Linked DNA regions of Cricetulus griseus. The protein of the gene in region 3 purifies or fractionates together with the protein of the main gene of each other region. This does not show direct contact. Links are inferred from orthologs where the notes say so. Each region holds a gene or a part of one and is shown on either strand. Other genes may lie near its edges. The genes, in order: Gadd45b, Gadd45a and Map3k4.

Region 1 (4,196 bases), on a different chromosome or scaffold from region 3:
GGGGGTTTCCTCAGCCTACCAGTGGCTCTGTGGAAAGGTCGGGGCTGATGGGATCAGGTAAACTAAGGCCGGCAGGGCAGGAGAGCCCAGGGAGCATGCGGTTTCGGTTTGGGACAGGATGCAGAGTGTACCAAGGGTGCTTTCCTACTGTTGATTTTAGCTCGGGGAAAGAATGAAAAAAACATTCTTTTCCTTTTGTGCATCCACAAGGCCCATCCCAGGAAGGAGAGCTTGGGTGCATGAGAAAAAGGGTGCGCCCCCAGGGGAGATCGAGAGTCCCACCCCACAAAGACCCCTTGCTGTGTGGCCTCAGGCGCCCTCACAGCGTCTCTGGTCTGGGTCGTGGGGTGGGAGGGGGAGTGCGGTCCCTTTCCCAGTGCGCCGACCCAGGGCCTCGGCTCCAGCCCTGCGGGTAACAGGGGGGCTGGGCCGCCAGGTTTCGTAATAAACCCTCTTAATTGCTGCGAAGCCGGAGCTGGGTGGCGGCGCCTGCGGCAGAGCAGCAGTGTCTAGAGCTACGCGCTCAGAGCTGCGGACGAGGCCGGGTGGCCGCGGCGCGACACAGGGCCACACCTGGGGCGACCGGAGGGCGGGCGAAGGAGGGAAGCACACGAGGACCCGGAGGCTTAACGAGTTTATTAGAATGTCTCTGTAGTAGAAACTTAAAAAAATACGCAAGCGACCTGCCTTGCTCAGCGCAATAACAAAATAGATTCGTGTCAGAGTCGCAGTCCCGGGGTCGTCCCGGCTCCCGCGGCTACGGTCGCCTCTTCCGCCGTGCACAGTTCACTGTCCCGCAGGGTCCGGACGCCTCGCCCCTGCCTGCGGCGTCGAGTGCAGACCCTCGGCGCTCCCCGCTGCGGCTGCGTGCAGAGGCTGGCTGCAGGATCCCCAGGCCCGGGCTCCAACGCCCCGGGCTCCTCCTCCGGCCTGGGCTCCCCTCCTTCCTGTCTCGGCGACCACCTGCGGTGCTGCTCCGGTTCCACCGCCCAGAGAGCCGGCGGGCGGGCGCGCACTCCCCTCTCATCTCAGTCGCGGTGACTCCGCCCCTCCCGGAAGGTCTCACGGGTAGGGTGGCTTTTGAGGGATTGTTCTTGGGGATGAGGGGGGGGTCAAATATGTATTTTATTTAATTTTTTTACGGGACAGCAACTCAACAGTTGCTTTAGATGTTTGTAGAGTGTCAGCGTTCCTCCAGAGAGATATAAGGGACCCATTGGTTATTGCCTCTGCTCTCCTCACAGTAACTGGCCACCTCGACCAAGCCTTGGCTTTTCCAGGTATCTGTGTGACAGTTCTGTGGAGGGGGACAAAAAGGAAGGGTTTAGTGGGAGCTCTAGGAGTTCGGTAGGGAACCGCCCTCTGGCGCCCAGGGGCCCCTTTGGTGAAAAACAGGCTGGCTCAAAATAGCTGCCAGGGTGATGAGGCAGCCCACGGGACATGCCTAGCGTGGCTGGGCAGTGAGCTGGTGTTGGACCAGCCAGCCCAGCTATGTTGACAAACACGGGATCTAGGTGCCCAGGGCAGGCAGGGTGGGGCAGGGAGAGACAGAGAGAGACCGGGCTCACCGTGACCAGGAGGCAATGCAGGTCTCGGGCCTCAGTGGTGCCCAGGGTTTCTGCGGGCTCGCCCAGGAGCTGTGCCAGCCTCTGCATACCGGATACCCGGACGATGTCAATGTCATTGTCACAGCAGAACGACTGGATCAGTGTGAAGTGGATCTGCAGGGCGATGTCATCTTCCTCCTCTTCGTCTATGGCTAGGAGGCACAGGACTACACTGTCAGGGTCCCTGCAGGAGAAAGGGGGTGTCAGGGGAGGCCAGAGCTGGAAGGATGGCATCGTGCACGAGCTCGGGGACCTCAGGCGGGAGAGGTGTGGACAAGACTAAAGGTGCAAGAACAACCTCCCCCCCAGCGCTGCACGGTTGCTGGGGTGATCAACTATGCAAATTCTGATGGCGGTGGGGGAGGGGGCATGGCTCAAAGTTACTGAGGCTGTCTTGTCAAAACAAAAAACAAAACCTCAAACTTGCAATGTCAGGGTTCTGCAGCGAGTCTCTATCCCCCCAAAAAATAAGTTCCCAGAGAAATGTCGCTCTCCACTCCCCAATGCAGAGAGCACTGGGAAAGTCCCCCAAAGACCTGTGCCCTACAGGGGTGATGGGAGCGTGAGTGCATCAGAGGGGCGCCCCCACCTACGCCCGGGAAAGGGGCGTGCTGACTCACACATTCATCAGTTTGGCCGCCTCGTACACCCCCACGGTGAGGCGATCCTGACGCTGCGCGGCCACCAGCAGCTGTTCCACCGCGGCGGTCACCGCCTGCATCCTAAGAGGCCAAGGGAGAGGAGGCGATTAGCCGATGACAGCTCGGCCAACCTCAGGCTGCGGGAGAGACCTCGGGTCCCCGCTGTACTCACTTCTGAGCCGCGTTGTCGCTCGCCACCAGCTCTTCCAGCGTCATGATGCAGTCACACTCCACAGCGGACCCCCACGAAAGGTCCCCAAGGGCGAAGTATGAGCCCAGACTCAACCCAAGGGGAAAAACACCTTTCCGTGCGATCAGAAGCTTCCAAAGTCTTCCGGAGGCGGCGGGACTTCCCTTCCCAAGAAAAAAGCAAGAGAGAAAAAAAGGTTGCAAAATCCCCACGAAAATTAATCCAAGAATCAGAATGCACACAGGACCCGGGCTGCAAGGGAGTGAGCGCGCGGCCGCCGGGAGCCGCTTTATATAAACTCTCGGTTTGGGGGCGTGGCCTCTGGAGGCCTACGCCGTCCTCCCATTGGTGTATACACAAAGAGCTGAGTGCACCGCGCTGTGATTGGCTGGTGGTTGAAAAGGCGGAGCTCAAGAGCAGACTGCCCCACGTGGGGGTCAGGGCTGGGAGGAGGGCAAACCGGAGCAGCCCTGAGTGCCAGAAAAGCGAGCGAGCGAGAGAGAGAAAAAACCACACACGCAGACACAAAAAAACAGAAGTTTCTCTCCTGATTTCCCGGCAGCCGCGCTACGCAGGCCGCGCGCGGGGTTTCCAGCGCGCGAGTCTGGCCTGGACTTTCGGGGAGGGCTGTCTGGAATCCCCTCCCTGTCCCCGGAGAGTCCCCCAGCCTTTCCCAGGCACTGCTCTGGAAAGGGCTGTGCATGGGGCCCGAGGACCCCGTCTGCAGCCCGATGCCTCCCAGGATGGCAACTTTTTGTGCGTTGGGGGGGGTCTTGCCCATCTTTGGAGACCCTGGACCTTAGGTAACTGAACTTCTCGAGCCAACGCAATCCCCGCCTTGTAAGGTTGGAGAGGGATCTAAATCACGTCCAGGGTATACAGTAAGCGCTTAGTAAGGACACTGGGATCTTCACCCCAAAGTGAGAGCTACGAGGCACCCTACACCGCCACCGTGCTTTGAGAATGCCTGCCCCCCCCCCCGCGCAGGGGGCGGGGAGGGGTCACCCAAAAAGCTACAGCTACCTGGCGGCCTCGGTAGGTGGCTTAGGGATCACCGCGGAGGCCAGAGCTGCAGAGCACTAAGGGATCGCTGGGAAAGAGAGATAAGGAACCCTTTCTCCCGGCACCCCGAGAGTTTCAGGGTGGGGTGCGCGTGGGAGGCGCAGGTGAAGAGACCTGCAGGCGCTCTGCGGAGCGGCTCGCCCCCTGCCGGCTGCCTCACGGTCTAGCCTCTGACACCTGACCCTTGCGGGGAAACCGAGGCAAAGCGAAAGTATGCTGCCCCCTGGGACATGGTGGCTGGATGGCAGCCGCTCTTTTGTTCCTGGCATTTTTGCAGTGCGCAACATGAGCCGCGGGCCCCTTCTGCCACGCGTGCCATTTATCTTGTACAACGTTAGGCAAGCAAAGGGACTGATAGCTGCATTATGCAAAAGAGAAACTGAGGCTTCCGAGGGTATTCTCTTCAGAGCTACACTATGGTTGCTGGTTGCAGAGCCAGACAGCAAGGACACGAGGCGGGCGGGCGGGCGGGCGGATCCCGCGTGGGACTCTCCCACGGTGCACGGGGGCTCCCGGTGATTCACAACGCGTCCTCTCCTCCGCCAGCCTGGGGCCTGGCCTCGGCCGCGCAGCTCGGTTCCCCCGGATCCCCGGCCCCCGGGTCCGGTGACGCATCGCGCCTCCTCTGCGCCGCCCACCTAGCGCGCGAAATGTCCCTGGCGTGAGAGGCCCACCGGCGACACCTGGCGGCCTCAT
Region 2 (4,064 bases), on a different chromosome or scaffold from region 3:
TCACTTCCTTCTGCAGAATGAAGGCCTCTGCAGACTGTGGCCAATTTACAGAGGAAAGTTCAAATACGTAAAAATGATACGAGAATGCCTGTCAGAGTCTGAACCTACCCCCCCACCTACTCTTTCCAGCCCTCTCTCTCTTATCTTTCTACACCAGAGGCATGCAGAGTCAGTCTCTATGCAGGCTGTGATCTTTCAGGCCTCCACACCTCTGCACAAACTGCTGTTAGCAACATCCCTTTCCTCTCTCTAACTAGAGAAATTAAGGTTATTTCTTAAGACCCCAAGAAAATGATTTCTCCTCAGCAAAAGCTCCACTAATCTTCCAAGTGGCCCTGGTTGCCCTCCTCTCTGCTTCTACATTTTGCATGCATTTTTGTAGCATTAAAATAACTAATTGTAGTTATTCAAACTTTGCAAGGGGAATCCGTAAACATTTTTTTCCCTTATCCAAGCCCTCTAAAATCACCCATTTTTCTGCCTAGTGTAAAGCAAGGCTTCAATGAAATGTCTGTTAATAGTCAATGTTGCACAACACAAACCACACAGTGAAAATGATGCAATTATTCCATACCAGTTTATTTTAGATATTGTGCTTCAAAAACTTTATCATAAATAACCTTTCATATCATAAAATAACTTAGTCCGATTTATAATAAAATTTCTGAGAATTTAACATCTCATCAAAATACATTAACCTGTAGCTTTAAAATACAATTAATCCTTTTCACTTTCCTTTTACTTGAGGGCATAAAGATCAAAAAACAAACAAACAAAAAAACCAAAAAACAAATACAAAAAAAAAACAAACTATTGCTACACATTTAAGGTTTCAACAAAGCAATATTTGGCTTATTTAATGTAACTCAGCCATCCTAAATCAACAGTTTTCTTTCTTGCACAGTTCTTTGTAGTTTTTGTCCCTTTTGACTTAGATTTCTGTTTCAACACAGCTTCCTTCTTTATTTTCACCTCTGTCCATCTGCAAAGTCATCTCCTAGCCCCCATGTAGTTGAACTCACTCAGCCCCTTGACATCAGTTTCTGTAATCCTTGCATCAGCGTAGGGAGTAACTGCTTGAGTAACTACAAAGGTATTTCAAAACTTCAGTGCAATTTGGTTCAGTTATTTCCATTGAGATGCCATCACCGTTCGGGGAGATTAATCACTGGAACCCACTGATCCATGTAGCGACTTTCCCGACAAAAGCAAATAAGTTGACTTAAGGCAGGATCCTTCCACTGTGATGAATGTGGGTTCTAAGAACAAATTTAGAAAAATTACTTTTCCATAAAATCATCAGCTTATGCTACTAATTGTACTACTTTTGAAAGGGCCAAAACCTGAGCATTCTGTTAAGTAGCATTTGGCAAGATCTAAACACCTGTAATGCACACTGGGCCACAGAGTTTTGCATAATTATCTGTACCATTCTGCATGAGGTTATCATTCATAAGTTGAACCTATCAAGCATGCACCCTAGTAGGGTCATAAGTAAAATAGCTCTGAAAACATTCTCGCACACCATGTGAAAGCTGCAGGGCAGGCAGCTTAGCTTCACTCTTATCTTCCCTGGTGATGAATGGCACTTTTCACTGGCAGCAAAAGTAATCAGGGTGCCACTTGCCTACACCAGTCAAGGCAGAGAAAGGACAAAAACAAAAAAACAGAAGACCAAGACAGCACATTTCTCTCTGAAAACATTATTCAACCAGAAATTTTTAAAGGGCGTGTGTTTGTGTGTGTGTGTGCGTGGGGGGGGGGGCTCATCTAAACAAATACAAAGGTTCAGAGAAAAGAATTCCACTCTGTACACACCAGAGTATCTCCAGCGAATTAATAAGGTCTGTCTCCTACTCTATTTCTATATTTAGCTTTGAGAGCAAATGAAGAATGAAGCTGACTTCTTAATGAAGGGTGAGCCGGGAATTTATTTGGCTTTATCTAATCTGTCCTGCTCTGAGAATTAGTCACGCGAGGTAGTGCAGAGGTAGGCAGAGGTAGCTGGGCAGCCTGCTGACTCACAGGGCTATCTTCCGCCGCTGGAGGCCACCCACGAGCTTAGACACGCTCGGTACCATCAGAACCCCCGCGAGATCAGCGTCTAGCACTGCCGAGGTCTATCCCAACAGATTCCGGGCTGCAGCCCCGGGTCCCTTACCGTCACCAGCACGCAGTGCAGGTCAGGGGGCTGCGAGGCACCCCCGCTCTCCGCCGGGCCCGCGTCGCTCTCCAGCAGCAGCAGCTCAGCCAGCCGGCCCGGGTTGCTGACCCGCAGGATGTTGATGTCGTTCTCGCAGCAGAACGCCTGGATGAGGGTAAAATGGATCTGCAGAGCCACGTCCCTGTCGTCGTCCTCGTCTGCAGCCAGCAGGCACAGTACCACGTTGTCGGGGTCGCTGCGGACAGCGGGGCAGCGGTGAGTGCACACTGTCCAGGGAGCTCGGGGTAGAGGCGGGCGGCGGGCGGGGGGGCGGGCGGGAGGCAGGGGCGCGGGCGGCCGGGACCACTTACACATTGAGCAACTTGGCGGCCTCGTACACGCCGACGGTGATGGTGCGCTGACTCCGCGCCTTGCTGAGCACTTCCTCCAGGGCATCTCCCACCGTGTCCATCCTGCGGGCGGCAGGGCGAGAGTGGGTCAGCCGGGTCCCCGACGGCGGGAGGGGCAGCGGCCACAGAGTCCGCAGGCACACTTACCTTTCGGTCTTCTGCTCTGCGGCCGAGAATTCCTCCAAAGTCATATTGCAAGTGCGAGTCCCTCACGCGGCGCGCGGGCTGCTCCTGCCCCCCCCAGTGCGCGGCGCCAGCCCCGCGCTCGCTCGGCTCCCACCCGCCGCTTCGCCGCTTCTCGCCTAAGTCTCGGTAGGTGAGGACTGCACAGCTTCCTCCGGGCCACTGGAGGACAAAGGCCCCCGATTCCGGAGTTATGGGGCTAGCCGTCAGCCAATCAGGGCCCGCCTCATTTGCATGCAATGCACCCATTGGCTTATGCAAATTAGCAGACTTTGACACTCAGACCCTAACTCCACCAGCCCAGGCAGAGTTGAGCGGAAGGGGGCGGAGCTACGCGGGAGGGAAGCCCCCAGGGATGAGAGTGGTGCAGAAACCGGGTTGGCGGGGTCCTGAGCCAGCTCTGGGAGTTGGTGGAGCCATCTGGTGAGGAGGGCTTTGCGGTGGTTCCAGTGTCCTCAGCTCGTACTGAAAACAGCCTGCCAATTGTTTTTCTAGTTGTGGAGATCTTTTGATGGTCGTCTCGTGTTGTTTGTGTTAAGGGGCTGATTTTACAATTTATTTCCAGGGTTAATGCACCCTGGTGTAGCTGTTATTAGTAAGCAGATGGTATTTTTAAAGTGTCCGGATGTGCCACGCAAAACTTGCTTCAGAAGTGTTGTTTATATGTTAAGTTTCAGGCAATGCTGATTTTTCACAGTAGTATTCTTTTGGTGCCCTGATGGCTGGCTTGATTTATTTTTGGTTGGGTGCAAGAATTTGAAGCTCCAAATAGAAAACCCAGCACACTGGTGTGTGGTGATGGCACGGTACCAAGTTGGAATCTTTTCCACGAAAAGCTGATAAAACTTCTGCCCACTCCATATAAGGTGGGTGGGGGGAGCTGGTGATCAACATGCCTAATGAGCCAAATTTACCATTCTTAAAATCTTTCCCGAGGGCACCTTCTGATCAGGCAAGAGCTGAGAGACAAATTGTGGTACTCACAGGAGCCACAGTCTAAATTCAATATGCTTATGCCATTCCCTGGTCGCCCCTTCACAGGCAAAAGAGTATGACACCACCTTCCACTGCCTATGATCTCACTCTGAATTACTGATGCTGAATCATGAAGCTGTAACTATAGAACATTTTAGCCATGTGCTAAAATTTCACCTTTGAGATAATGGCAACTTGTAGGTGGAAGGCAAACCTTCATAACTGCAAGCAGGAGTCACACATTAAAAACAATTTTTAATGTAGACTTTTACTGAGTACTTCAAAAGTCCCTTTGTTTTATGAGCTTATTTGATAAATACAAAAGCATTGCCTGATCCAACTGAAGTAACAAA
Region 3 (3,625 bases):
CTTTAAATATGCATAACTAAATTAATAACCAGTGTGCACTGTGGTTGATTCTTTGCCTGCATTTATAAGAAGGCTAACTTGAAAATGTGTGTTCTTCTGGGAACATGTCCAGTCAGTGTGCGGCCTCCACAGCCTGTTTAGAATGCAGGGACACGAAGGGCTCCAGGAACACCATGGGATTCACCTTGACATACTGCTTTGCTTTCAGGACGTCCAGGAGCTCTTGGACCGAGGCAGACAGTACGAATTCTGCAGCTATTTCCAGGTCCTAGGATCACAGAAGAGAAGCCTCTTAGGATCGGCTTTAGGATCAAGATGAGAAAGGCAGCAGCAGCCAGGCTGGTGGACTCACCTTCCTCAGCATCTTTGCAAAGCCCAGCGCCTTGGAGGCCCTCTCCCGGGCTTCGTGGAAGAGCTCTTTGAGTGCTCGGCTGATCTCTATGACAGACCTCCTGCCAGGGGTGAAGTTCAGTTAGTTCACGTGGGGCCACCAGAGTTTAAGCACAGACATGCTAGTAACAGACATGCAGCAGATTTCAAATCACAACAACAAATAGCACCTGTTAATTTCATCAATGGGAACAAGCAGTTACCAGGATTGTGGCCACAGTACTGGGAGCTTGATCCTCCAGGTTTGGCAGAAAGGACTTGAATATTCCATATATACAGGGAACATCAAATACCCCTCAAATCATGGTATGTTTAGTTTTCTAGACATTGCTGTGACAAGTTCTTGGAGTTTAAGAGCTCATAGTAATTGAAAAAAAACACACACCCAGTGTAGTGAATACAGCTAGTACCCCTAGGACCACCTGGAGGCTCGTGCTGACTTGTGTGGCACAGTGCTGGTCACAGAAGTGGGACACCATGGAGCAGGCCTGGTGGCACACAAAGGCCCTTCCACATCCCTGGCATATGAGGGGAGCTATCAAAGAGCTGCTACCTAGTTTACTGCCTCCATTCTTTAAGTCTCATGTGGACTTTACATTGTAACTCAAAATACAAAGGCTCACTGGGTGTCTCAGCCATCAGTGTTTACCAGTTTGGTGGGAACGTCTATATACAGATGTTCTGAAACCCAACTGCTCTTCACCAGATTTTGGTCAGTGAGTAAAATGCCTTAGCTCTGAACATGCACTGTACAGACTGACCAGTGTTGCACCTGATAGACAGATGGCCACAAAATGGTTCTATGGGCAACACCTTACAACACAGACAAATACACATACAGATATGCACAGAGAGACACACAGATACACACAGAGAATACACATATACAGACACACGCACAGAATACAGACAGATATACATAGAGATACACTCACACAGACAACACACAGAGACACATCAGACATCATACAGACACACACTGAGACACACACTGAGACACACACTGAGACACACACACACACACATACACACACACACACACACACACACACACACACACACACACACAGTGGGTGCAATCCAATGGATCAGTGGCATCTGCATGACACTGGAGGGAATTCCACAGGTGAGTCATGGCTCATGCATTTACCCGAATGTTCAACAGAAGGGATAAGCCAAGCATAAACAACAGAAAGGTGCCAAATGGCATTAAAAGGTAGCATGTGCTACAGGAGTTTAACGGACAAAAACGTAACATTTAAAGACACTCTAGGAAAACATGGGTACAGACTGTTGCTATGGCCATTTTCAGTTAATATCCATTATATTTTTATCATGTTAAAGTCGAAGTTTGTCTCTAAAGTTTTTCTTTTTCCATGTAAAGGCACAACCAGGAGACCACTAACAATGCCTCCTCCTCATGTCATTCGTGTCCCCACTCACACCCCCAGAGGTCCATCACAAACCAGTCTGAACAAAGATCTCTGGAAGCCCATGGGGAAGTATGATTCCTGCAGTAAGACAGAAAGCCAGTGTGGTGCCAACCTTAGCTCATCGGCAGCACTGTTGTCATCGGCACTGGTCCACAGCTCTGCACAGCTCTCCTGCAGGCCAGATTCCAGAAAGCTCCCTGTGGATTTTAGTAGCATCCCTGCAATGTCGCTGGGGGGACGGGGACAAACAGCAAAGCAGAAGGAAAATCAGCTGTCATCGCAACAGTTCCAAATCAACAGGAGTTTTCTCTTAGCACATGACAGATGAGAAACAGAAACCTAGATAACACAACCCACCTTTGTTCTATTACATGACATTGAGTATAAACCATAGCGGCAAATTGTATGCAGTAGCTATGTGATTCTACATTGTTATTGCTTAAATGTTCATGATGGTATGAAATGCCTCAAAAAACCCAAATGATAGGCTGGAAAAAGCAAACTCCTGAAACACAGATGGTTTTAAACTTCCCCTTGAGGTTAGCTCTTACAGCTGTTGAAGACAAATACTCCACACCTGAATTTCTCAATGAACAGACCATTTAAACACTAGTATTAATGAACAGACAAGCACACAGAGTGAGGTAATGACTGTGATAAACCTTCACTATTGATGAAAGGTAGAGAAAGAGAGTGGTAAGTATACAACCATCAAATGGTGGGGAACACAGGGTATCAGATGAGGAGACCAAAGCAAGCTGGCAGCAAAGCCTCTCATGGGCAGAAAGCCCTGATCCTGGTAAAGACTGAATGTCAGCAGGGTCATCCAAAGGGGAATGGGTGGATCTTCAGAGAGAAGACAGGGGGTGGGGGTAGGGGGTTCTAGGAAAGACAAGGAACTTGAACTGGACTAAGGTATGAAGGCACACCTGGAAAAAGCAAAGCATCTGACCTGAAAGGAGCAGAGAGAGTTGTTCAGGCTGCAAAGCCTGAAGAGACTCCGAAGCAAATGAGGTCAGGCTGTACTCTGCAGGGCCTGGCTACCATGATAACTAGTTTAAGCACATGGCCATCAAAGCAGGTGGGCTGAGTAGGAAGGAGATTTGACCAGAAAAGGATTTTAAGAATATTATATAAAACATCAGGATGCATTTATTTAAAAGCTACTGGGCAGCAATGAAGTTAAGAGACAAAAGCCCTTTACGGATAGAAGAAACAAACAAAAAATGAAATCCTGAGTGGGTAAGAGCTTCTGAGTGTGATAGGAGGGCAGCACATGGACAAAGATCTGCAGGAAGTGGGGAAATGAGTTAGTCATGAAAATCACTGGGACGAGTAGTCCATTTGGGGCAGTGAGCTTCACCTGCCCAGCCTGTGAGCATGGAAGGGACTGCTGTGGCTACACAGTGTGCAGTCCGGGAGATGAGGACACACACTGGATGAGAAGGCCGACTGTATGCAGCCCCATCTCCCACTGCTTGGGTGTTCTTCCTGACAGGGGGCTGCTGAGCGTTCCCCAGGAAACAGTCTGACTGACAGACTGCCTAACACAGCTGATGCTGAGAGTAAGTGGGGGTAGGGGATCTGGACAGGAACAGGGGACTGAGAGCTGTGTACACAAGGAATGATGGAGTACACAGAGAGATGGAAAGGGGACAGGAAATCCAGACCAGGGGCATCCAAAGGCAAAGATGAGGAGCACCTGTGCCAGCTGAGGAGGAGTTTCGTGGTTCCACCCTGCCTGAACCTGGAGTGGAAGTGGCTGCTCCAACTCGGGGGATGGGAAGAGCACGAAGCTAGGC

What was found.
Region 1: the proteins of Map3k4 (region 3) and Gadd45b purify together in Homo sapiens (co-immunoprecipitation; 3 studies listed by BioGRID and IntAct, counting the BioPlex papers as one, with this or other methods). This does not show direct contact. The link is inferred for Cricetulus griseus from reciprocal best matches to the Homo sapiens genes MAP3K4 and GADD45B.
Region 2: the proteins of Map3k4 (region 3) and Gadd45a purify together in Homo sapiens (co-immunoprecipitation; 3 studies listed by BioGRID and IntAct, with this or other methods). This does not show direct contact. The link is inferred for Cricetulus griseus from reciprocal best matches to the Homo sapiens genes MAP3K4 and GADD45A.

What each region holds. Positions count from the first base shown.
Region 1 is NC_048598.1:101,711,196-101,715,391, reverse strand, and holds Gadd45b (growth arrest and DNA damage-inducible protein GADD45 beta), read right to left. Parts: upstream 2,718-4,196; 5' UTR 2,465-2,717; coding exon 2,421-2,464; intron 2,330-2,420; coding exon 2,228-2,329; intron 1,792-2,227; coding exon 1,569-1,791; intron 1,298-1,568; coding exon 1,184-1,297; 3' UTR 622-1,183; downstream 1-621.
Region 2 is NC_048601.1:76,185,700-76,189,763, reverse strand, and holds Gadd45a (growth arrest and DNA damage-inducible protein GADD45 alpha), read right to left. Parts: upstream 2,914-4,064; 5' UTR 2,745-2,913; coding exon 2,701-2,744; intron 2,617-2,700; coding exon 2,515-2,616; intron 2,420-2,514; exon of another isoform or gene 2,400-2,419; coding exon 2,162-2,399; intron 1,260-2,161; coding exon 1,146-1,259; 3' UTR 556-1,145; downstream 1-555. UniProt on the Homo sapiens protein: In T-cells, functions as a regulator of p38 MAPKs by inhibiting p88 phosphorylation and activity.
Region 3 is NC_048595.1:288,728,745-288,732,369, reverse strand, and holds part of Map3k4 (mitogen-activated protein kinase kinase kinase 4), read right to left. Parts: intron 2,053-3,625; coding exon 1,936-2,052; intron 453-1,935; coding exon 353-452; intron 269-352; coding exon 185-268; intron 1-184. UniProt on the Homo sapiens protein: Component of a protein kinase signal transduction cascade. Activates the CSBP2, P38 and JNK MAPK pathways, but not the ERK pathway. Specifically phosphorylates and activates MAP2K4 and MAP2K6.